Linked DNA regions of Nothobranchius furzeri. The protein of the gene in region 3 binds, or shares a complex with, the protein of the main gene of each other region. Links are inferred from orthologs where the notes say so. Each region holds a gene or a part of one and is shown on either strand. Other genes may lie near its edges.

Region 1 (4,084 bases), on a different chromosome or scaffold from region 3:
TTATTAAAGTATGATGGTGCCGGGTCTGACGACTCTGGCTCTTTGGGAAATGACAAATGAGTAGGGTTGGCAAAACAATTTAAAAATAAATATGCCACATTTAACTAATAACTGCAACAGGTCAAATAGGATACGAGTGAAACAGATCTGATCTTCTGTGTTTTACTACATCACATTAACACGTTCCTAACGGAGCTTCAGACTCGTCTTCTACACAAACACACTCCATGAATAAAAGCTCGCTTCTTAAAGAAATGCCAGCAGGTCAGCATCATATTGACACTTCATGTCTACGAGAGGAACTGAGCAGTGTGAGCAGATGTTGGTCCAGACACGATCTGGTGCTTTTATTTATCAAACCAAGTCAGAACAAAGCTCCAGGCTCCTGATAAAGTCCAGTCCACCTCAGAAGCAAGAGAACAAGGCCCATATCTCCTCCCAATATGGGCAAAGAGTCCAACTTACAGATGGGGAAACCTCTTCATGGGTCTCTGGTCATGATGGAGAGGAACTCCTCCTGATTTACTGAAAAGAAGGGAAAAACACCTGGTCAGATCTACTGGATTTACCTGGAAAGCTTAGACGCAAGAATGAAAGAAAACAAACAAAAAGCGAAGCAGCAGTGGATTTTTGTTACTTTAACTGAACATGTTTACACATTGTCGTTAGTAAATCTATTTTGTTCCAGGGCAGCAGATGCCTGCTGACGTGACAGGATCTGGTCTAACAGTGAAAGCAACAATGTTAGGAACAATCATATAAATAATTAAAATGCCTGTGTGTGCCAGAAGATGCAGTGATGATGTTGGTATTGTTGCATCTGCGGCTCTAATCAGACACAAAATCACAACAAAAGAGAGACAGAGTTGCTCTCATCTCAGACTCCGGTCTTACTTTCTCCATCCCCGTCTGTGTCAAACTCGTCGATCATGCTGCGTAGCTCCTCGTCGCTGATGTTCTCCCCGAGTTCTCGAGCAACCCGTCTCAGGTTCCTCAGGCTGATCTTTCCTGACTCGTCATCGTCAAACAGCTTGAAAGCCTTCATGATCTCCTCTTTGGGATCTCGCTCCAAGATGCGATCCGTAACTGTTGAGGGGTAGGGAAAAGGTTTAGTAGCTAATGAAGCACCTCAAGCTATGAGGTAATACCAGAGCCGATGACCACCTTACCCACTTCGCTGAAATCCTCAAAGGTGATTTTCCCACTTCCCTCTCTGTCGTAATCCTTCAGAATCTTCAGAACATCCACTTTCTTCACTTCAAAACCGAGAGCGCGCATCGCCACCTGACAAGATGTTTAAATGTTGTTTTGGTTTGAATTCAGGATTAGAACAATTAGTAACTAGCACTAAAACAACAAATAAATGTTATTGCTGTAGAACGTTAGCTCCAATTCCCCTGGAGCTTTATTTCAGCAGGGTGCCTTCAGACATGGAAAACCCATTAGCGTTTCTCCAAAAGGTGATTAAATGGTATTTAGTTACTTTTACTTACATAATAATACATAAATACCTGGTGCTCCACATTCACAGCAGTTAAAGAAAAATAGGAATGATGAGGTTATAAAAGCATAACTTATATACGGCATTATTTCAGGCACAAAAACCATAAGGTAACCATAACAACCACCACTATGGCCCATTTTCTTACCTTCAGCTCGTGATAGTCAATCTCCTTATCTTTATCCGTGTCAAATAAGTCAAAAGCTTCTTTAATTTCATGCTTTTGGTCCTCGGTGAGCTCCCTCCTCTTCTTGCGCTTGGTTGTCTCAGCTGCAAGATCAGTTCTGCTGAAACAAACACACATGCAGTCTCACCTCAGACACTACCTGTATCACAGCCATGACTTATTAATGCATTAACCCATACACTTTGTTATCCAATGAGAACTAAACCATTTTCTGTAATGTTTATTGGGGTCTCTCTGATGACACAGGGTAGGCTAAAGGATCTTAAAAAAATCTACCTTATGCCTTGTTCTAAAAAAAATCAAAAGCAAAATAACCCAGAAGAACATCTAAAGCTTTGTAGGTCAAACTTGGTTAAGGTTTAAGGTCATGTGTCAACAATAAGGTAAACCTCATTCTCCAAAGCCTCTGCTGAACAACAACAACAACAACAAAAACAACCCACATTTACCAAAAACATTGGGAGGACCTCCAAAAGTCTGGGGGAAATTGTTTATTGACAGATGGAAAAAAACAAAACAAAACAAAAAACTAGTACATTCGGGTCCCCCACCGTTTCTCCGCCAGCTTCTTTGTAAACTGTTGTGTTTAGCAATATTATTTCAAGAAAATCCCTAAAAATATATATCTTAATCATTTGGTCATTGCTGTAGCTGTGAAATTCATCATGTTTAGTGAATATCACTAATTCTAATCTAATTCAGATTACGATACAATTAGATAATATTACTCAATTTACAGTTATACACAAGGGACTCGTTCCCTCATAAATGTCTTATCCTGATAAAAAAAATAACATCTACGCCTATAATTGTACAATTTGGCAGGACGAAATCATCTTGACGAGACAAGCGAAGGCGTACGTTTTTCAACTGGGGAACAAATCTCGACGTACCACCGGTTTCAACTGAACTGTAACAGCCACATCTCGCGACAAAAGGTTAGCTCCTTACCTTAGAGATAAACTCATTCCAGGTGAATTTATAAAACCTTTAAACCAAATGTTATTCTGAATGCTATGTGGCTACAGCTTCCAGCAAACACAACAAATCCGTTTATCCGCGCTCACACACCAGGAATCCTATTGGTCGCTGGTTGCCAGGCAGCAGTTAGGCGAGATCTGGTTGGTTAATGTTACTTCTTCAAGGCCGCTTACCCGGTCGTTGTCATTGCTCTATGCAGTCAATTAGAGCACTATTGCCACCTCGTGTTCATAACTGATACCACAGTCTATATTATACATATGGATGGATATACATATGCCCGGTATATATATATATATATATATATATATACACATACAAACCAATGATGAATCAAAAATATTCTGACACATCACCATTGCATAAAGAAGAAGAAAGGGCCTGTATATTATGTAAGGTACCTAAATTCTCCTAAAATTTTCAATATCTGGTGAATTTGGACATAGAGAATTATTCTAATGACTTCACGTGCTAATGTAACACTCACAAGGTCTTTATGAACCTCAAATCTTGATTTTGTTTTAAAAAAAATTTTGGGGTGGGGGGACACCCTCTCCACCAGCTGTTAAAGTCTCATACGTTCAAGCTGCTTTATAAAACTATTATTCCAAGCCCAGTTAAATCTTAACTTTCAGAAATTCTAAGCAGCCAGAGTTCAGAGTTGCCAAAAAGTGCTGCTTTTAGTTTTTGCCCACCAAAGAGTGCTCTTTCATAGGAAAAATCTTCTTTCTCTAAACTAAGTTGTGGATGTTCTAACATCGCCAGGACTTTTTGAGTGCCACAGGATTTTAATCTATAACAATGTAGTATGTTACCAGTAGTAACCTTTGTCACTGTGGTGCCAGCTCTCTTCAGGTCATTCACTAATTCCCCATATGTACTTCTGGACTGTTTCCTCACCATTCTCAAGATCATTTGTACCCCACAAGGTGAGATCTTACACAGAGCCACAGGTCGAGGAATACTGTCAGTGATTTTGTATTTATTCCAGTTTCTAATAATTGCTGCAACAGTTGATCTCTTCCCACCAAGTTGCTTACCTGTTGTGGATTTACTCAAGCCAATCTTGTGCAGGTGTACAATCCTGACACTGATGTCGTTTGTCAACTCTCTGGTCTTGGCCATGGTGGAGTCTGACTGACTGAAGGTGTAGACAGGTGTCTTTTATACAGATACCAGTTGCCACTAATTCAGTCAGCAAGTGGAGGATAGATAAGCTTCTTAAAGAAGAAGTAACAGGTATGTGAGGACCAGAATTATTGCACATATGTAGGCACTAAATATGTATCTTCTGCACCATGATACAAATAATTTCTTAGAAAATTTTACAGTGTGACTTCCAGGATTTTTTACATTCTGTCTCATAGTTGAAGCAAACTGTAACTAGGAATGCACCGATGCGATACTGGTATCGG
Region 2 (3,930 bases), on a different chromosome or scaffold from region 3:
GATCCCAACTGTTGGAGCGCTCACACCTGCAGAAAAAAAAAAACACAGATATGAAGTCACCTCGAAGCTGAACTAACCAGCTGCCTGGTCAAACAGCCATTGTGACTAATAATGATGTGAAACTGTTTCATACAACAACTAATGTTGGTAAGCTCAGAAAGGACACAGAATTTATAAATATAAAACTAGTGCAAAGTCAGAAAAGGGTAGAATGCCTTCTCCGGGTCAGGGATGAGGTCCTGCCCCAAGTGGAGGGGTTTAAGTATCTCGGGGTCTTGTTCACGGGTGAGGGAAAACTGGAGCGTGTCTGCAGTGATGCGGGCGTTGTACCGGGCTGTCGTGGTGAAGAGAGAGCTGAGCCAGAAGGCGAAGCTCTCGATTTACCGGTCCATCTACGTTCCTACCCTCACCCAGTGTTGGGAGTAACGCCGTTTAAGTATAACGGCATTACTAATGGTGTTCTTTTTTAGGTAACAGAATAATCTAATTAATTACTTTTCCCACTGTTGCAACGCCGTTACCGTTACTGGGGATGGAAGGTTGTGCGTTACTATGTTCTTGTCGAACGTTGAGCAGCAGCGTGAGGCTTTCTGACCGCCACACTTCAGCTGCAGCCAGGAAGAGAGGTGTCGGTAACGCGCTTACAAACACGATGATGATTAGCCGGGTGGGCGGAGACCCTCAGTGTTCTCACTGTCTCAGTTGCTGCCTGCTGTAGACCCAACTGAGCAGTGATGGGAATAACGCCGTTTAAAATAACCACGTTAATAAAAAGATATATATATTTCTTTCTGTAACGAGCAAACTAATTAATTACCGTCTTAACAAAACGATCGTTTCTGTTACTGATAAGGAAATGCGTGCGTTAAGCAGCGCGGCAGCGAATCTGCGGGTCTGCAGCCGTGTCCTTCTTAGCGTGACAGCGGGACGTCCCGAAGGTCCGCTCACCTGTTCACCGCTCCGACGTCCTGATCTTCTACCTTCCTAGATCATCCAGCTGTAACCTGTTTCTGATCATGTCTTTAGTCCCGCTGTAACACTGATGCATCAGTCTCAGACGGCATGGAGCTCAGGTGTTACTAGAACTACCTGTGTGTGTTTACCACCCAGCTTCAGCTCTTCTGTGGTTGGGTCTGACCCAAGTTAGTAAATGTAAGTCCTCCATCAGGCTTGTGCCTCTTCTAGTGTCATTTTAAAGGATTTTATTTATTTATTTAACCGTTACTAGATTAGCAGCAACAGAAATGCTGCTAAAAACACACAATTATGTGAAGCTGGAAAAATTAAAATGCTGTGCAAAATTACATTTATTTCTGTAATTTAACTAGACTGAGAGACCATTTAAAGGCTCGGGAACCTTTACAGGTGTTTCTATTTGCAATTTTAAATTTTAGCTGATTGGGGTCTTGTTAAAAATCACACAGTGACCTTTTAATAGTCTAGATAAGTGTAATGTTCCTGTTAGTAGTTCCTCCTGTTAAGTGCTTATTTATTTAAATCGTTCAGGTTTATAAAAAACATTTAGACATTCATTTTATTATGTTCCAATCATTAGTCATTTATATTTCACTATTGTAGTAACTCTTGCACGCTTTAATGAAAAAGTAACTAAGTAGTTATTTTTCTTGGTAATTAGTTACTTTTATAATCTTGTAACTCAGTAACTGAGTTACTTTGACAAAGTAATCAGTAACTATAACTAATTACTTTTTTAAAGTAACGTTCCCAACACTGCCCTCACCTATGGTCACAAGCTTTGGGTAGTGACCGAATAAAAAAGTACAATAAGTATACTTTTGCAACGAACGTGTTTATTCTCTTGGCTAGATCCATAAATGTAAATCTGCTCATAAGATGCCATATTTCCCTTATTCTCTTAAAAATGTATAACTATTTATAAACAAAATTTCTCACTCGTCTAACAAAAAGTCTCAAAACGATTGATGCTTGTGGATTTTTGCACGTATTTGTAGAACTAACAGAGATGGGAATTGTGGCATCAAGTCATCTCCATGTCGTGTTTTTGTTCTGCTCTGCAACAAAATCAGGTGATCTCAGATGAACCTGGCTCAATCCACATCTCTGACCGTTAATCCCTCTGGCTGAATGTTCACTTACAGGTATTCACCTGTGTCGTATACGTCATGTTCTCCTGGTGTAGACTTGCACTTCGCTAAATAAAGTCCTTGACACTTCTGCAGGATTAGGGTTGAGCTTCCACATCCTCGTGATTTTATCTTGAGGCGCTCTATTAAAGATCGTCTTCTTTCTTTCTGCGTGAAGAGGACTTACTGACTCCATAAAGAAGACACCGTAATCCAGCCTAGCTGCCTCAGGTTGGGTTACACCGCAGCTTTGATCTGCGGTGGGCTGTTATGCACCTACATACCCCTCAGAATGATGGCAGTTGCGCCCCTGTTCAGTATGAGTAACAGGTGAGCAACCTTTGAGTTGACCATACAACTGTTTCACTAGAGCTCACCTGTTCGGTGCAGCTGCCCTGAACATTTCACATCACAGAGACATGTGAGCACGCGCAGAGCGAGAGGACAGCGTAGCTAGCCGCGGCTAGATCAGCGCGGGATCCAGTTAACGTGAATGGAACATTAAAAGTAATGCCTAACTGGACTTCATTAATCAGAACTCACACTCACCTGGACTCACTGTGACTTCACGGAACCGGCGCTCTGTTTCCCGCTCAAACCCGCAAAACTCCACGAAGCTTCTCTCCATTACAGCCGCCATCTTCTCCGTGGGGCCACGTGACACTTGAAAGCTGCGCACGCAGCATCTTAGAAACCCAGTGAAATAAACGCCCCACTGTAACCATAGATATGTCTGTGGACGCAACGTAGCAGTAGCGGGCCGCCATCTTGGATGGGTTCCCAATCACCCGCAGAGCATTTATTTCGACTGAAGGTGTTAACTTCAAAACTCATTTTACGGATTTTTTTTAACAAAGTCAGATACATGGTATGGCATGATAAGAAAACATAAATGAATTTTTTTCACATTTTAATAAAAAAACAAGTTTGTTAATTTGAAGGTCTGTCTCTCTCTCTCACACACACACGCTGAGGCTGAAGGGAAAACGAAACCCTGATTTTCTATTTTACTCTATTTTATTCATTTGTTTGAGTGCTGAAGGTTACGATAATAGCCTAGTTCCTAGTTCTCATTTCTCCAGGTGAATGTGCCGCCATACCAAGTCAAATTACCCACTGTGGAATTAATGAAGTCTATTCTATTCTATATTTGACTTTGGCACTTTCCACGTCTTCTGGAGATCTGTGGAGTCTCACATAAATATCAGGACCACATGCTCCTCCAGCTTCTCCACCCGAGAACCTGCTGCTGCCACTTTGACCACTAGGTGGCAGCAGATGCTTCACTGGAAAAGACTGCACCGATTACTGAATTTAATGGACAGATGCATTTGTGTTGCGAATGGCGGTGTGGCTCAGAGATGAAGCAAGGCGCTCGCTCGGCAGCCGATTCAAATAGAAGCAGACTTTATTGTGTCAGCTCTACTGTACATGTGTCATCTTACAGCAGCACAGTGACTCGTACAAAAAGATAACTGGAATGTTTGTTCAGTAATACTGATGTGTACCATATAAGGAAAGCAGTCTGTTACATCATCACCTTCAGAGGTATAAAGTACCAGTTCACCTGAACAGGTGAGACTACAAGACGATCCATCTCCTATCTGAGGAGTCCGTGCACAGCTCCATGCGCATCACGCTGCGCTCTTGCTTGGCAGCTCAGTGCTGTTGTGTCTCGTCTTGCGTGACGTGCCGTCGTCCCGCGGCCGTGCCTTCTGTAGACTGGACATGGCGGCAGTGCGCTCGATGTCGATTAGCGCATAGGGTTCTGTGCGCCGCGTGGGTGTGGTGGGGGGCAGCGGGGAGGTGGGGGTGCGGGGTGTGT
Region 3 (2,666 bases):
AACTCAATGCCTTAATTGTGATGGGTTGTCCTCTGAATTTTTTAGTGTTCACAAGGGAGTACCACAGGGCTCAGTCTTGGGACCCCTCTTGTTCATTATGTATATCAATGACTTATTACAAAATGTGTCAGATGCTTATATGCACTTTTACACTGATGACACAATCATTTACTGCTTTGGAACTTCCCCCACTAAAGCAGTTGAATTCTTACAGAAAGCTTTTGGTCCAACAAACACTTTGTAAAAATTTGAGCTAAACATATTTGGAATATAATTCATGAGAAGGGTCAATAACTGGAAAAATGAGATTGTTTTCATAAGAAAAGGGATCAGTTGAACTGTAATGACCCTGTTTAATAAAACACAGCTGCTGTTTTTGTGTCGTGTTGCGTGAACGTGATTTTTTTTGTTTACAGTTAAATAATTTAAAACAATTTGATATGTTTGATATTTTGATTTATTCTAATAATTTCCCAAAAATGATTTAGAAACAACGTAAGTGAACGGAATGAAGAGATATTTATTATCAAAAAACAAACATTTGATGACTTGATCTTATTAACAGTACAAAAATGCAAAAGAAGAGCTTGTTTTTAAATCTGAATCTACTTTATGTCTGCATTGTTCCTTCTTTCACAATAGCTGAAGCCAGATTTCTGGCCAGGGCGAGTCTCAGCATCTCCACCTTGGTCACCTCTACGTCTTCCTCCTGAAAACAGAAAGACAGATTTTAAACGTGGAAACGGCAGTAGATAATCACTTTAACATCAAACTGGGTTTGGTTTGTGTTAAAACTATGAAACAGGAATGTCCAGCTGCTGGGACGAGCTGAAAGAAGAATAAAGACCTGCATGGGTCTGCCTGATCCAGAAGCAGCAGTGATCAGAGAGGAGGTGAGCTCCTCTAAGCAGTACATCAACTCATAGGTTTGCTCTGCAGAGAAGATCACCTGAAAACAAGGAGAACAAGTTACTCCACTGAAACTCCAACTGTTCGGATTTTTTCATCCACATAATAAAAAATGACAAATAGCTCAATTTTTGATATGCTAACTCTTACAAGAAACATGTTTAGTAGTCAGTTGGTTTAAATGGTAACTAGGCAGTTTTAGCACCCCCAAGAAATCTCCTCGCTGTGCGTTCGTCTTTTTAACACCTTAATCTAACAGCTGAAATGACTCCTCAGCCTTCATTAGTGTCTACAGGAGTGAGTCGTCACCAAATCAAACATATCAGATGTGTTCCCGATCCAAAACATGCAGGAAGCAGACTGCAGCGCCAGGTGTGTCAGCTCAATTTTTTACCGGCACTCTGGGGTTGCAAGTGGGATATTCTGCCACATGGGGGGGTGGGGGGGGGGGGAGAGATGATAGGAGCTGTGTGGCCTTTAATTAACCTCAAAAAGGGTCATTTTAGCACAAACTGGCTCAAGAAAATGACTTCAAAATATGAAAAAGTTGCAAAGTGCCCCTTTAATAAAACAGGGGTAGTAATGTTCACATTAAAAATAACATACGGTAGTGTGTCACTCAAAAAAACTACATAAATTAATTAATTTTTAATGATGAATAAAAAGTTCCACAAATACCTACTTAAAGATAGATATTACTTATTCTATTTGTGCAGCATTTTTCATGCACACAAAACTCTGACCAGGAGGTCACAAATGATCTTAAACAGGATCAAAACATTCATTTAACAACATCTGAATGCTCCAGATTTGTGCATTTAACCCTCTGATGCATGAATTATGAGATCTTCAACCATGATTTTTTAAACAATTTGTTTCATTCATCTTTAGGTGTGAATTAAACAAATTTCAACAAATATTCTTTGTAACATTTTGTTAATTTACAAATACTTTATTACATGTCTATCTCAGTGGACAGCGTGCATTCTGAACATGAAATATGTTGGCTTGCCTTACTGAAGTCCAACTGGAGAGGCTCACATGCAATAAAGTCTTCAACAGCTGTGCTTAATAGCAAAAATAAATAAATAACTATTTTGAGTACCTGTCCACTGTAGTGACCATTATGCATCAAAGGGATAAACTAAAGTTCTTGATTTTGTAATAACAAATCTACTTTAAACCGATGTTCAGGTGTGGACTGACCTCTTTCTGCTCCAGCAGAGGCAGAGCATCCGTCAGCAGCGTCATCCAGAAGCTTTGGGGAGCGATTTTAGCCGTCATGAGGGAGAGTAGCAGCTTTGCAGCATCGCTGAAGCACTTCTCTCCGTACAGCTTGTGGAACTCACGGTATTTTCCTGGAGAGAATCATTTCTATCAAATCATCCTCCAGAAATTCTCACCATCACATGTTGTTGCATCAAGCGGATACTGGTTCTGTTTCTATTAGTCTTGTGTGTGTGTGTGTGTGTGTGTGTGTGTGTGTGTGTGTGTGTGTGTGTTCAGGCTCCTACCAAGGAAGGTTAGCCTGTCGCTGAGCAGCATGGTTGAGCCCAGGTTGTCGATCAGATCCAGATCAGAGAAGGTGCCTTTGGCGCAGTAATCCTGCAGGAACCTAAAACACAAACACAAAAACAACTTCAAATCATTTTCAGAGAGAAAGACATTTAGTGAACTAATAAGCCCAACAGTGATACTTATAAAAAGCTTAAGAAGCATGTAGGTAAAAGTTAAATGTGTTCCTGGAGAATGAAGAT
Region 4 (3,500 bases), on a different chromosome or scaffold from region 3:
TCTACTAGCTCCGCCCCCGAGATCACAGCTGTCACTCCTACTAAGGAAGCAGCCACAAATAAGGTTTGTCCTACATCTGCTTATTCCTACTTTTATTTTTAGAAGTGTAAAAGAACACTAGATAAAAATTTTTGTCCCCAACAAGGATCCACCGAAGGCGTCGACACCGCCCTGCGCACCGTTCACCTTTTCCTCCCCCATTGTCAAAGCAACTGCTGCCAGCCCACCTTCTTATTCCCCCTCCGTGAGTACATGCTTAAATTAACTCGTCAAATAGCCTGCTGTAAAAACACAGGTGATGCATGTTGTCTTGTTTCCTTGTAGACCGGATTTACTTTCAGCGCACCTGTAGCGAAGTTGGCTCCCTCTCTGTCCATGTCCAATGGAAATCTCGCCACACCCTCGGCACGACCAGGTGAAGGCGTTCGCCCACTCTTCATCTGTTCCTGATGGTCCACGGCAGGGGTGCCCAGTCCTGGTCCTGGAGGGCCGTTATCCAGCAGGTTTTAGTTTTAACTGCTTCAACACACCTGATTTCAATCAGCAGGTGATTAACAGGCTTCTGCAGAGCCTGATGAGATGCCGCACAGGTGATTCAACCAGTTAATCAAGTGTGTTGGAGCAGAAAAAACACAAAACCTGCTGGGAGACCGGCCCTCTAGGACCAGGACTGGGCTCCCCTGGTCTACGGTTACAGAGCATCTTGAGTGAGCTTCCATCTGTTTTCATGTGTTGCAGTGAAGTCAGTCGGAAGCAAGAGCACAGAAGAGTTTGAAGGACCTTTTAAACCAGCCAAGACGCTGAAGCAGGCCAGTGTGTTGGACCTCCTGAAGTCCCCTGGTAGGAACCTGTAGAATAATTTGTTTTTTGCGCTCTGAGGTCGGGCGGTAAGGAAAAATCTTTTCTAGCTGATATTGATCAGTCCAACAAATAACTGGTGATGTATTCACCCTCCAGAGCAATAATGGGCCCATATATGATTAAAATATTACCGTTGGAACCGCGGAGACATCAATTGTTCTAAAATATAACATTTTAGAGACTTTTTTCAACCTGAGCAACGTATCGTAGACCATGAAGAGGAAAAAGCTTTGGCGACACGCAGCAGTGGCTAACTGGCCCACTCCGTGATTGTAAAGTGCACGTTGTCGGATGTTAAAAGGCTAAAATACGTCCACACGACTGAACTGTTCGATCCCTTATTGTCGTTTGCTGTTTCCTCCGTCTTTTTCTTTTGGGGCGCAATTTTTTTTTTCTGTTTATATCATTCATGTCCCACCTGTTACCTGCGGTAAGAGGCTAACCTGTCTTCCCGCCAGGCATGAAAGCGGTGCAAAAAGGCAGCAAAATGTGCTATATGACAGTTAGCCACCATTTTAGTGAACGGTTTACTTTCTGTTGAAAGCAAAGTAACGTTTTGGACGCATCCCAGAAGCAAAGGGAAGCTTTCATGACGTCACAAGTCTATTTTTTTGCACGCTAAACTTCCAAAACACGTCAAACACCAGTTCAGATCGGGCCAGACAGGAAGTCAAACATGAAATCAGTGACAAACTTCAGAAAACTTTCAAAATAAAAGTCAGAACAGAAAATTAACCATACCGTTTTGTGTACATGGAGCCGTCTTGCTCCTCGCTATTGTGTGGACTTCTGAAATCGCGCATGGGGTTGGAATTCTCTCGTGATTTTGCGATCTCGCGGGATCGGCTGTGTCTGAATGGCTCCCAGTCGGAGGGGAGCTCGAGGGTGAAACGCCGCTGCTTTCACATCTGGTGGAAAGCTGGGGTAAAGCTACACAAACATTAGCTGTTAGCGTGTCAGTCTGTCTGCCGTGTGATTGGTCCAGCCGGGTGCAGCACTTAATATGATTGGCTATCACATCTATGGAGGAAATGTTCAAACGGATATTGCTTTCGTTCTACTGCCCAGCCCTACTTGTGGAGGACGCTATTTGGACTTTAGTGGATAAAGACGAGTTTTGTTTCAGATGGTTGTTTTCTGTCAGTGATTAGCGGCTTTGAACCGTATGTTGGACATAATTTCAAATGTAGTTTGACAAAGGTGGTTGTATCCGTGATTGGCACTAAAATCCCAGATTTCTGTATGTGTACAAAGAGAATGTGGCAAGAGGACCCTGATTTTTCTTGGAAGTATAGAATATCTCATCCTCAGGACTTATAAAAATATTATCTTTAAAAACGATCGGTGCAGGAGGTCAATCGCCCGGCCTTTTTGTGCGTATTTTAATAAAAATGTTTTTATCTTAACGCTCCGTTTCCCCTCTCTAGGTTTTGCTTCTCCCGTTGCTCCGAACTCCTCAGACCCAAACGTTGCTCCACAGCAAACACCGACGCCTCCCGCAGCACCCGTCTCAACGGCCACAACCTCCTCCTCCTCCTCCCTGCCTGCTCCTACAGAGTTTGTTAGTTTACCGAAGGCCCCTGCGGGTTGGAGCTGTGACGAATGCTTGGTTCAGAACAAGAAGTCGGACACAAAATGTGTTTGCTGTGCGGCTTCAAAACCAAACAATTCACCTAAATCCACGGAGGGCAAACCGTCAAACGACAGTGCTGTGGGGCTGGAGAGCATCAGCACGAGCGCCGCTGTGACCACGACGGGGTTCAGTCCCATCTTTTCTAAGCCTGCAGGAACCTGGGAATGCGATACGTGCATGATCTCAAACAAACCAGATGTGGTGAAGTGTGTGGCCTGTGAAACGGCCAAACCCGGGACGGGGCTCAAACCCTCTCTCACCTTTTCTTCTGCCTTCTCAACTGTTAAGACTGCACCCGCTCCCACAACCCCCATTTCCACAGGCATCAGTGGATTTGGAGATATATTCCAAAAACCCGAGGGCTCGTGGGAATGCCAAACGTGTTTGGTACAAAACAAGGCGGAGGACACTAAATGCGTGGCTTGCAAAGAAGCTAAACCGGGTAATGGCAGCATGGTGTTTTGATATTTACTTTGTTTTTACTCCACTTTCTTATTGAGGCATGTTCTTACTGAGCATCCTTTTTATGTTCAAATCGTTAACAGGAGCTACAGCGGAGGCTGCCTCATCAACCAGCAGCGCCCCAGTGTTTGGATTTGGAGACAAGTTCAAGAAACCAGAGGGATCCTGGGACTGTGACGTTTGTCTGGTGCAGAATAAAGCTGCTGATGTGAAGTGTGTTGCCTGTCAGACGGCCAAACCTGGAGCTAAGGTGGAGCCTAAAGGTACCTAAAGGCTGTTGGGATGAATAGCTTATCAGAACGGGGAAAAAGGATTATTTTTACAGCGATCCTAGAATTTAAAACCACATTAATGTTAATTGTTGACGGCTTGAGTTATGAAATGTACCAAAAACCTGCTTTCCTGTGTAAATTTTGTCTGTAGCGGCAACCTAGAGACGATTCATTCTGAGAAGAGCTGATTACTCAGTTTTCCTTTTTTAAGACAAACATTTTGCAGGTTTAAAGAGCAAGTCACCCCCAAATCACATTTTTTTTTTTGCTGA
Region 5 (3,500 bases), on a different chromosome or scaffold from region 3:
TACTTTTCTGACGTGCTTTGCCTCAGCTGAGTTCATAATCTGTGCCCCGGTGATTTCAACTCATTACTGCTGGAGCATAGCCTAGTGAACTAGACCAAATTCTTGCTTTGCAAAGAATGGTCTAGGCATGCTCCATTGGAACCTCAGCAGCTCCTACCAGGACTCTGGCTAGCCAATCACAGCTCTCTAGAGGGGTTTCAAACACACAAAGAGCTGTGATTGGTCCATAATGGTGGGCCAGTCATAGTGCTCTATCTGCTTAGTGAACAAATCAGAGCTTTATCCGCTTTGTGGGCCAATCAGGGCACTCTATATGCCTGGTGGGTGGGATGATGCAACAGAGTGAAACAAGAGTATGTCACATTCATTGTCCAGTGGAATGCAGAGATCATTTGAAAGACAACAGTAGAACCCGCCCCACAACCAAGAGCCGTCAGTGGAGCATGGCCAGACTAAATAATACATTTATTTAGTCTGGCTTGCCAGGCTAGCTGGAGCACCACGCATGTGAAGATCCCTTTGGCTGATCGTTAGAAAGTAGGAAATCTAGGAAACAGTTTTTCTGGAAGACGGAGAAAACATGCAGCATGCAGGAAGGTTAGCGAGAGAAAGGGCCGGAAATTATTCAAATAAAATCAAGAAAAAAAGAAAAAAGTAGGAAGATTTATCCCCGATACACATTTTTACCAGTGAAAAGCAATAATACAATAAGCATTTAATATTTATACATGTGATAGAATCAGATCACCCCAGAAGTCAGTTCCACATCCAGGGCCGTATCAAGGCATTTGGGGACCAAGGCAAATATAGGCTTGGAGCCCCCACCACCTCACTCCCTGCTCAGTTAATATAAGATGGCAGCGTGCTGAGAGTACAGATTGTTGTTGCTTTTATTTAATAAACAATCATTTTAAAGCACTGTTATTATATCTGACTGTTTTAACAGCAATCCTAGCTCAGACACCACATCACTTTCCACATATATGTCATGAGCTCACTGAGCGTCACATGACCAGATTCATACTGAAGTTGTTTTGGTGAAAGTAACTTAAAGTAATGCAAAAGTAGTGTAATGCCTTACATTTTAAAATCAGTAATATTGTAATGTAATGAATTACTTTAAAATGAGGGTAACAAGTAATAAATAATGCATTACAGTTTTGAAGTAACTTGCCCAACACTGGTGTTAGCGCTAGCTACAGGCTAGCAAGCTGAGGCAGGGTTGTTAATGACAGTTGTAATTTATAAATCTGTCAGATTTAGAAACTGGTAAATGCAACTGGCCCGTTTGGGGTAAAAAATAATCTTTGAACAAGTTTTTTTTTATTTAGGATTTTCAAACAAAGATGTGTGATGTAATTTACAGTTCCAGTCATCAGAATCTGTCTTTGCTCAGCTTTCATATCTTTCGTCTCACCGTCGGTTTCGTCATCGCTGACGTAGCCAGGCTCATTTTTGTAGCAGAAGAATGTGAACGGCAGCCTGAGTTCCCTGGCTAACGCTGCCTGTTCAGTTGTGGGCTCCTTGACGTATACAACCTCAACATCTGAGTCCTCATCTGAGCCCGAGGGGCCTCCTCCTGCCTGGGGGGGTGCTGTAACAGGAAAAACAGAAGATTTAAAAAATAAAACATAAAAATCAGGCTGCTTCAAGAGAAAAATCAAGTTGATCCATGGTTTCAATGAGAGGAAGTGTTAGATACACTCGCACACACGAAAATAATCCCATGCATAACAAAAGCATGCATGTGATTTTCTACAGTGAAAAAGTTGTATAAAGGCGACTTTATGTCTGTGGTTTTGACTCTGCTAACTGTTGAAGTGCAACATGAAACCACTTTAATACCAGAGCTTTACAGGGTTTCCCTTACATAGGCGTAGCCGCTGAAATCCCACCGCCACGCCTACAACATCCCAAGTTTTTTTTTTTTTTTTTTGCGCTGTTTCCCGAAGAAGCAGCGGGAACTACTATGTTGTCGCTTGTGATCACAGCCGGCGGGCAGCAAGGAGGAGCAGGCAGGGCAGGGTGAAGTTACAGCATAAGTTACTGAGTTTAAAATTAGAAAGGTAGCAGTGGATATAATGCTTTTTGGTTTACATGTTTCAACAGCATTAAGATAAACGAGTGTTGACCATCTTGACAGGGTTTCCTCCCCCCACCAGGCTAAGCATCACTTATTTATGTAAAACTTATTTTTTCATGTCTGACTTTAACCACATCTAATAATGTATTACGGCGTGAGCGCAACAGCGACAACTTAAGATCGATGTGTGAGCAGCCTGAGAGGTCGGGTGTTTCACCTGAACCATTAAAAACCTCCAGCAGGCTACGCTTCACTATTGACGTGTTAGCGCGCGGCGCTAACAACTTAGCGACGTGACATGTCTCTGAGAAAGCATAAAAACACGTTGGACGCTTCTTCTGAAGCGGGAAAATAACACCTCTTCTTAAGCAGAGCACTACGTCGCCTCGGCTCGTTCACGACCGAGCCGGACTGAGCTCGATAACTGACCCAGCACAGCCACTGGGTCGTTGGAGCTGCCCCGTGACTGCCTGATGGAAAACCAGCGGGTTTCATCAGACTTGTAAAGTTTCTTGTTTTTGCTGGGGACCCCCTGTATTTTACCGCTCCCTCCTGCAGTCTTCCCCTATTAACATTTAAAATGATTCTGTAAACTCCGTGTATCAATAGAAACAATCTCTGCCTCTGCCAGCTGCAGTAAATGTAGTCTCCAAATAATAAATAAGAGGTGCATTCATCTGTGTATCTCCTTTGACCCACATTAGTGATATTCTCAGCACCAGAACAGTGAAGCAAAGAAAGATTCCTGAGTTTGTTAGTAATTTTATTTATTAGGTGCATCTAACCTGTTCTATTTTTCTCTGAAATGAGATCAAATCAGTGCTTCTATGGGTTGTTATTTAGAGACGCGTCATAATTTCCGGCCCCACCACCACAGCTGGAAAAATTCCTAGGGGAAACACTGCTTTACCCTAATTAGCCTCTGCTGATGTCTCACCAAGCAGGGAGCTACATTTCACGCTGTTGCTACACATCCAGCACTAAAAATGGCTCTGAAGGAACATCCTCTGCTCTCAGCTCATCTGTCAAGAGATGCTTAACTTTTACTGGTGTGAAAAACTAGTTACAATCCTAACTGTGGTAACGAACCACTACCAAAGAAACAATCATTACTATCAAATAAACACAACTATAACCGTGATAAAACTGTAATTACTCAGGAAATATTAAATATAATGCATTAAATACAGGTTACAGGTTTGTTTGTTTGTTAAAACTTAAATGTATATTTATCCTAGGGCTAGAAAATGTAGGTTACAAGTGGGCCCTTTACTTTAAACAGCCATCATAATATAAAGATCCCAAATTTAAAGGTAAGCAAACCTCCACTATAAAGAGCAAGTCACCCCTATCAGATTCTTACTCAACTCCCACTAGCAGACCGAAAGGACAGAGCCGCTAACAAACACACACAGGC
Region 6 (3,500 bases), on a different chromosome or scaffold from region 3:
CTGCTGTTTCGTCTCAACCCACAGCTCTGCAGGTGTTTTGTAGAGAAGTGTGAGCCTGCTGCTGAGCACCTTGTGCCGTGCCTGCCCTGTCGTGGGATTGCACATTGCTCAAAACAGCTGCACGCCAAGTTAACTATTTGACATAAGAGCGAAGAGACAAATTTTAAATAGATTTGTAACATTGACACATTTCTTCTGAATGTTCTATCTGAGCCAGAGTTTTATAGAAGATAAACTAACGAAATGACATAAAAACAAAAACAACAACAAAAAACCACAAACAATAATAAAAAGCTTTAAAGGACAACTTGTATGTGTTCTCCTTTTTCTTTTCCTTTTTAACACATTCCTGAAGTATCGGATCGGGACTTGGTATTGGCAGATACTCAAAATCAAATGACTCAGATCTGAAGCAAAAAAGAGTGACTGGAACATCCCTAAAGGTGACACCTGACCTGATAAAGCCCCGGCTCGGCTCACCTGAAGGCTGACTGAAGCTGAATCCTGAAGATGAAGGTGTGGTGGTGTTACTCCCGAATACAGGTCCTTGCCCAAATCCAGAGCTCTGGCCAAACGCCAGGGTTGTGCTCTGTCCAAACTGTGTTGGCGCTGTGTTGGCGCCACTCGCACCAAAGGAGAAGGAACTTGCGTTGCTGGCAGTGGCAGACCCAAAGAGACCTCCTCCTCCGGTGGTCCCACTACTAGAGGTGGCTCCGAATCCAGATTGGGTAAAAGAAAAGCTGCTGGCTGATCCAGAATTGCTGGAAGGTTGGGCGAACAGGTTATTCTGACCAAACACGGATTTACCAAAGCCGGTTCCAGTTGTTGCACCAAACCCAGAAGAGCTAAAAGCTGTGGGAGCTGGAGCTGATGATGCCGGAGGTGCTACAGGCTGCCCAAACACAGCAGCAGTGGTGGTTGGAGTACCGCTAGACACTGAAGGGGTGATGGTGGTGGCTGCGGGGGCAGCTGTGTTGATAACAGGTGGGACCCCAACAGAACTGCTGTCTGTAGTTGCAGGAGTTGATTGAGTGAAGATGGAACCGGGTTTTTCCGATGGGGGCACTTGGAATGCTGCTGGGCGGGACTGGGAATCAGGGGCAACAGATGCAGCAGGTGAAGTGGACACAGGTGTGGTGGTGGAGGAGTCTGGGGGGGCTTCTGTTGTGGATGGGGCACTGACTGGTGGCGGGGGGACTGCTTCAGCTGGTGCAGTGAAGGTAGAAAGGGGCACTAGAGTAGAAACAGTAGTGATAACAGGCACTGCAGGGGTTGATGCTGCAGGTGTTGCCATGGTTACTGCATTCGGTGCAGGTTCTGGTGCTACAGACTGACTAGTGCTGTCTTCAGTAGAGTCACTTGTAGTAGGCTCTTCTTCGGGAGGTGGTGTTGGCTCTGAAGGCTGTGGGGGGGCTTTTGGTTCCTCTGAAGAAGGTGTAACAAGGCTACTGAAAGATGTAGGCAAAGTGGAAGGCACTGAGTCGGATGGGGGAACAGAAAACGCCGGCTTGGAGGTCGATTCAGGAGGCTTGAACAAGCTGTTAGGCGCCGCCCCCTTGGACAAGTCAGCAGCACTAAAGCTAAATTGTTGCGCTCCCACACCCAGGCCAATACCAGCCTCCCCAAGTGTAAACTCTGCAACTGGATTTGGTGCAGCATCTTTGGCTTCTTCTCCTTGACCCACACGTAGACCAGAAAAAATGCCCAGTGTCTCTCCTCCAGTCAGCTTTGCTGGCTGTGGCTCCACCCTGGGAGCAGGGGGAGATGTGGTGGATGGGAGTTTCCCTGGTTCAACAGATGCATCTGAAGCCAGAGTGGGAGACCCAGTGCCAAGACCAGATGAGGTGGGCTTCTGGATGAGGGAGAACGGCGGGTCTCCAGACTGACCAAATACAGCTTTGCCATTTCTGAAAGTGAACTTGTTCACATCTTTAACTGTAAAGAAGGGAAGCAGAAATCTGTGATTATGAAGGCATGAATGACCATTTCACGGTTTTATGGACAGAACCAGGTTTCTGGATAGTTTTACCTTGTGAGGATCCGAGTCCTTGTGAGGCTGAGGTTAAACTGAAGCCTGCTGACCTGCAAGAGTCAAAATACAACAGTGGAGCTAACTTTACATTTATGATTCAACATAATTCAAAACACGTCACTCCTCCTTGAACCGTCACCTTATCGTGGTGGAGGAGTTTGAGTGCCCTAATGATCCCAGGAGCTATGTTGTCTGAGGCACTTTGTGCCCCTGGTAGGGTCTCCCATGACAAATTGGTCTTAGGTGAAGGGTGAGACAAAGAACGGTTCACAGGATCTTTCATGGACGTAAAAACAAAGAGTCGGAGTACCCGGCCCGGAGGGTTACCGGGGTCCCACCCTAGAGCCAGGCCTGGGGTTGGGGCCCGTGAGCGAGCGCCTGGTGGCCGGGCTTTCGCCCATGGGGCCCGGCCGGGCCCAGCCCGAACCGGATACATGGGCTCATTCAACTGTGGACCCACCACCCGCAGAAGGAACATGAAGGGTCCGGTGCAGTGTGGATCGGGTGGCAGACCAAGGCGGGAGCCTTGGCGGTCCGATCCCCGGACAAGAAAACTGGTTTTTGGGACATGGAACGTCACCTCGCTGGCGGGGAAGGAGCAGGAGCTTGTGGCAGAGGTTGAGCAGTACCGCCGGACTCACCTCGACACATAGCATTGGCTCTGGAACCCAAGACCTTGAGAGGGGTTGGACACTCTCCTTTGCTGGAGTTGCTCCGGGTGAGAGGCGGAGGGCTGGGGTTGGCATTTTGTTAGCCCCAAGACTCTCTGCCTGTGTGTTGGGGTTTACCCCGGGGGACGAGAGGGTAGCTTCCCTGCGACTTCAGGTCGGGGAACGGGTCCTGACTGTTGTTTGTGCTTATGGGCCAAATATCAGTTCAGAGTACCCACCCTTTTTGGAGTCCCTGGGACGAGTGCTAGATAGTGCTCCATCAGGGGACTCCATTGTCCTGCTGGGGGACTTCAATGCTCACGTGGGCAATGACAGCTTGACCTGGAGGGGTGTGATTGGGAGGAACGGCCCGCCTGATCTGAACTCAAGTGGGGTTTTGTTATTGGACTTCTGTGCAAGTCGCAGTTTGGCCATAATGAACACCATGTTCGAACATAAGGATGCCCATCGGTACACTTGATACCAGGGCAGCCTAGGTCGCAGGTCGATGATAGACTTTGTAGTCGTATCATCTGACCTGCGGCCGTATGTTTTGGACACCCGAGTGAAGAGAGGGGTGGAGCTGTCAACTGATCACCACCTGGTGGTGAGTTGGATCAGATGGCAGGGGAAGATGCCGTGTAGACTTGGCAGACCCAAACGCATAGTGAGGGTCTGCTGGGAACGCCTGGCAGAAGAACCTGTTAAGACGGTCTTCAACTCCCACCTCTGGCAGAGCTTTGACCGCGTCCCAAGAGCAGTGGGGGACATTGACTCCGAGTGGGCCTTGTTCCACTCGGCAATTGTTGAGGCGGCTG
Region 7 (3,500 bases), on a different chromosome or scaffold from region 3:
TTTTCCACCTTATTTGCATGTGACAATGTCACTAATAGCAACAGTTGATGTGCAACATTTCTGAAGCTGAATCAGTTTTAGATCTCTGAATTTAACTGTTAAACCTTAACTTTGTGCACTGCTCGGTGTTAAAGTCAAACACCTAAATAAAGTTAATTTAGAGTATTTATTATGCAGATGTTATTAGTGAACATAAAAATACATTAAAATTACATTCTGCAACAGCACCGGGCTGCTCGAGGATACATCTGACTTTAAATCAGGACAAATATCAGCCAATGCAGACGTATAAAAAACGGCAACTATCAATCAGACGGATATATCCGTCTGCCCCAGTCTGGAGGAGGGCTGAATGGTCTGGCATTTTCTGAGCAAAAATGTGATTTTCAAACAATCGTGGTATCGTCAAAGCCGCAGCTTTTGCGGCGATGCTGCCTAACCCGGGATCTGCTGATCTGTTAACACCGTTACGGCGCAGCAGCGGATGGGCGTGGGGACCAGGGTCTGATGCTCCAGCTGTTGGAGTGGCACATTTGGTTGTTTTTCTTTCTTTTTTCCTGGCGCTGCTACGGCCGATTTTATTTATCGCTGTGTTCATCTGTCTCTGTAGCTCCTTTTCTGTCCCTCACTCAGCTCCCTTCGTAAGTGTGAGACGGAGGAGTGAATACACCCGTTTTACCGTAATATTAAGTGGACTTGAAAGTGACACTTCTGATCTTAATACCTGTTTGAATTTTTTCTGATTGCTTAAACTGGAAGAGTTCTAGTAAAATGTGTCGGCGCTGCTGTTCTACCCGGTTCGGCCGTCGTAGCCAAATCCCTCGTTAGAGTGAAGTTTTTGTGTGAAAAACGTCCAGATGGCCTTTTTACATCAAATAATACACGCTTGTTAATAAACGTATCTGAGAAAGATTCTTTCCTTTAGTTGTTACTTAGAAGTAAAATGTGAACCTGCAGGAGTTCCTGCTGGGCGAGTGGAGCTGTCTCCATGTGGTTTTGGATCTGATCGACTCCAAACAGCAGGGGAAGTACTGGTGCCCCCCCCTGCTCCACCGGGCAGCCCTGGCCTTCCTGCTGGCCCTCTGGCAGGATCGCAGAGACAGCGCCATTTCAGTTCTGCGCACCAAGTGAGCACATTTTAACACTTGAATCATCTGTTTCTTTCAACTGAAATTTGGTGAGAAGCATCATGGCGTGTTGTTTTTTGTGCAGAGAAAAATTTTGGGAGAATCTGACAATGCCTCTCTTTGGAACCCTCACCCCACCTGCAGAAACCACAGAGGTGCTGATGTCGTTGTTTTTCATTTACAGCCACTTGTCTCTCTCTGCTTAGATGAACTTAAAGAGGTGTGTTTGTCTTCAGCCCTGTGTTCTGGAGGCCTGTGCATTTGTCATGAAGATCATTGGCCTGGAGATCTACTACGTTGTCAGGTAACAGATCCACGCTGAGTGGTACTAGGTGCGTTTGCTTTACCGGAACTTCAGGGTAAATGCAGCGAGGGGGAAACTGACCGGGAGATCCGAAGGCCGGTCCTCTTAGCTGTCGTGTCTCCATTTACAGTGTGACTCTGTAAGGAATTTGCTAAAACGCCAGCACATCGCGACTGCTACGTTGTGAGTTATGTCATGGATTGGTGCAAAACACGCAGCACGCTCCAAAAGCAGTGAACGAAACATCATTTCTGACGAGTTACACCACCAATCGGCAGTGTTCCTGCGCACCAACCTGCACCGGGTCATTTACCGGGCCATTCCGAGCACTTATTCAATTCAATTCAATTTTATTTATATGGCGCCAAGTCACGACAAGAGTCGTCTCAAGGCACTTCACATAGTAAACATTCTAATTCAGGTCAGTTCATTGAGCCAATCAGAAAAAATGTTTCCTATGTATTAGGGTTGTCACGGTGTGAAAATTTAACCTCACGGTTATTGTGACCAAAATTACCACGGTTTTCGATATTATCGCAGTATTTTTTTTAAACGTGCTACATTTTCACACAATTAAATAAACCCTGTATGTCAGGAAATATTGTCCTCAGTTTGTGTCTAAATCTTGCCTAAAATGTGTTATTTTGTAATTATGTTGTTTATTTGTTTACATTTTCCCATTTAGTCTTTAAAATACCAATATTTGCCCATAACTTCTTATTTTGTCTGTTTGATGTCATCATTTTAAAAATATTAGATCAGATGATACTCAGTACTCAAGTAGCCTTCTAATCAGATACTTTTTTACCCTTACTTGAGTAATAAACCCTATATCAGGAAAATGTTGTCCTCGGTTTGTGTCCTTCCAGTGAGCTTTGCAGATGTGGGAAAATGTCATCAGGCAGTAATCGTTGTTAAATTCATAATTATTCTCAGAGAGAGACCAACTCTTATCTGCCTCTGGGAGCCCCATAATGCATAGCGTCATTTCAACATGGCGGTGTCCGCGACACGGTTCATATGCAGGTAGCGGCGCTGCAGCTGCTTTATATAGCCACTCGTTGCATTCTCCCTCAACCCAAATCCTCGGATCACGCATTTTAGCTAAAATGCTAACGTTAGCTTGCCTTGCGTTGACTGTAGAGTTGTGGGTGATGGTCACGCAGATGTGTCATGAGATTTGAAGCGTTGCTGCCTTTCACAGACACTTTTTCTGCACGTGCTGCAAACAGGATAGCCGTCTTCTATAAACTCCCTCTGCATTCTTCAAATATCCATAAAATGCCCGTACTTCCCACTTCGTCTTCTTTGAGGGATAAAAAATTTCCTGAGCGCTGCCGTCTCCTCCTTTGACCATTATTTCAGCTTTAGCTTCAAGAAAGTTTTGATTGTAAACAACAAAGCGCGCATGTGCCGCCGGCAACTTCAGCAGATGATACGGTGGCTGGTAAGGGTCACCACGCCTACACCGCAGCCACGGTAACCCACCGAGATAATATAGTTTTTTAAAAACAAGACGGTTATTATTATTGTCAACTTTTTTTTACCGGGGTTTACCGCTACACCGGTTACCGTGACAACCCTACTATATAAGGAACCCAGCAAATCGTCATACTAAGCAAGCATGTAGGGACAGTGGAGAGGAAAACTCCCTTTTAACAGGAAGAAACCTCCAGAGAATCCTGGCTCAGTATAAGCAGCCATCCTCCATGACTCACTGGGGATCGAGAAGACAGAGCAGGCAGACACACACGCACGCACACACACACACTGTAAATCTACCCTGAAGTTCCGGTGATGGAAATGCACCTACTGGTGCTCATGTGTTTCACTCGCTTAAATACGGACTCTGCCTCTCTGTGGGTCTCTGCAGCGGCTCCCTGGAGCAGTCTCTGAAGGACGGGCTTCAGAAGTTCTCAAACGCTCGGCGCTACGAGTACTGGTCCCAGTATGTCAAGTCGCTGGTGTGCCACGTGGCAGAGACCGAGGAGGAAGGCATCTGTTACTTCCCAGAGACACAAATGCTGATCTCTGCTTGGAGGATGCTACTGATTCTCTCCACGAGCCAC

What was found.
Region 1: nup85 (region 3) and cetn3 share a complex: the UniProt entries of both Homo sapiens proteins name them as parts of the nuclear pore complex. The link is inferred for Nothobranchius furzeri from reciprocal best matches to the Homo sapiens genes NUP85 and CETN3.
Region 2: nup85 (region 3) and nup160 share a complex: the UniProt entries of both Homo sapiens proteins name them as parts of the nuclear pore complex. The link is inferred for Nothobranchius furzeri from reciprocal best matches to the Homo sapiens genes NUP85 and NUP160.
Region 4: nup85 (region 3) and nup153 share a complex: the UniProt entries of both Homo sapiens proteins name them as parts of the nuclear pore complex. The link is inferred for Nothobranchius furzeri from reciprocal best matches to the Homo sapiens genes NUP85 and NUP153.
Region 5: nup85 (region 3) and ranbp2 share a complex: the UniProt entries of both Homo sapiens proteins name them as parts of the nuclear pore complex. The link is inferred for Nothobranchius furzeri from reciprocal best matches to the Homo sapiens genes NUP85 and RANBP2.
Region 6: nup85 (region 3) and nup214 share a complex: the UniProt entries of both Homo sapiens proteins name them as parts of the nuclear pore complex. The link is inferred for Nothobranchius furzeri from reciprocal best matches to the Homo sapiens genes NUP85 and NUP214.
Region 7: nup85 (region 3) and nup188 share a complex: the UniProt entries of both Homo sapiens proteins name them as parts of the nuclear pore complex. The link is inferred for Nothobranchius furzeri from reciprocal best matches to the Homo sapiens genes NUP85 and NUP188.

Annotation. Positions count from the first base shown.
Region 1 is NC_091746.1:37,904,206-37,908,289, reverse strand, and holds the start of cetn3 (centrin-3), read right to left. Parts: upstream 2,801-4,084; 5' UTR 2,657-2,800; coding exon 2,640-2,656; intron 1,789-2,639; coding exon 1,650-1,788; intron 1,285-1,649; coding exon 1,170-1,284; intron 1,087-1,169; coding exon 895-1,086; intron 526-894; coding exon 482-525; 3' UTR 1-481. UniProt on the Homo sapiens protein: Plays a fundamental role in microtubule-organizing center structure and function. As a component of the TREX-2 complex, involved in the export of mRNAs to the cytoplasm through the nuclear pores.
Region 2 is NC_091744.1:79,862,794-79,866,723, forward strand, and holds the start of nup160 (nuclear pore complex protein Nup160), read right to left. Parts: upstream 2,801-3,930; 5' UTR 2,746-2,800; coding exon 2,655-2,745; intron 27-2,654; coding exon 1-26. Other genes in the region: fibroblast growth factor receptor substrate 2, read right to left, coding at 3,740-3,930. UniProt on the Homo sapiens protein: Functions as a component of the nuclear pore complex (NPC). Involved in poly(A)+ RNA transport.
Region 3 is NC_091752.1:54,277,265-54,279,930, reverse strand, and holds the end of nup85 (nuclear pore complex protein Nup85), read right to left. Parts: intron 2,525-2,666; coding exon 2,424-2,524; intron 2,268-2,423; coding exon 2,116-2,267; intron 950-2,115; coding exon 848-949; intron 710-847; coding exon 611-709; 3' UTR 501-610; downstream 1-500. UniProt on the Homo sapiens protein: Essential component of the nuclear pore complex (NPC) that seems to be required for NPC assembly and maintenance. As part of the NPC Nup107-160 subcomplex plays a role in RNA export and in tethering NUP96/Nup98 and NUP153 to the nucleus.
Region 4 is NC_091759.1:94,286-97,785, reverse strand, and holds part of nup153 (nuclear pore complex protein Nup153), read left to right. Parts: coding exon 1-63; intron 64-145; coding exon 146-244; intron 245-324; coding exon 325-415; intron 416-738; coding exon 739-840; intron 841-2,288; coding exon 2,289-2,936; intron 2,937-3,039; coding exon 3,040-3,219; intron 3,220-3,500. UniProt on the Homo sapiens protein: Component of the nuclear pore complex (NPC), a complex required for the trafficking across the nuclear envelope. Functions as a scaffolding element in the nuclear phase of the NPC essential for normal nucleocytoplasmic transport of proteins and mRNAs.
Region 5 is NC_091747.1:23,232,305-23,235,804, reverse strand, and holds part of ranbp2 (E3 SUMO-protein ligase RanBP2), read right to left. Parts: intron 1,595-3,500; coding exon 1,418-1,594; intron 1-1,417. UniProt on the Homo sapiens protein: E3 SUMO-protein ligase which facilitates SUMO1 and SUMO2 conjugation by UBE2I. Involved in transport factor (Ran-GTP, karyopherin)-mediated protein import via the F-G repeat-containing domain which acts as a docking site for substrates.
Region 6 is NC_091746.1:57,211,654-57,215,153, reverse strand, and holds part of nup214 (nuclear pore complex protein Nup214), read right to left. Parts: intron 2,083-3,500; coding exon 2,030-2,082; intron 1,936-2,029; coding exon 481-1,935; intron 1-480. UniProt on the Homo sapiens protein: Part of the nuclear pore complex. Has a critical role in nucleocytoplasmic transport.
Region 7 is NC_091746.1:61,201,351-61,204,850, reverse strand, and holds part of nup188 (nucleoporin NUP188), read left to right. Parts: intron 1-957; coding exon 958-1,127; intron 1,128-1,212; coding exon 1,213-1,282; intron 1,283-1,363; coding exon 1,364-1,431; intron 1,432-3,304; coding exon 3,305-3,500. UniProt on the Homo sapiens protein: Component of the nuclear pore complex (NPC), a complex required for the trafficking across the nuclear envelope. Required for proper protein transport into the nucleus.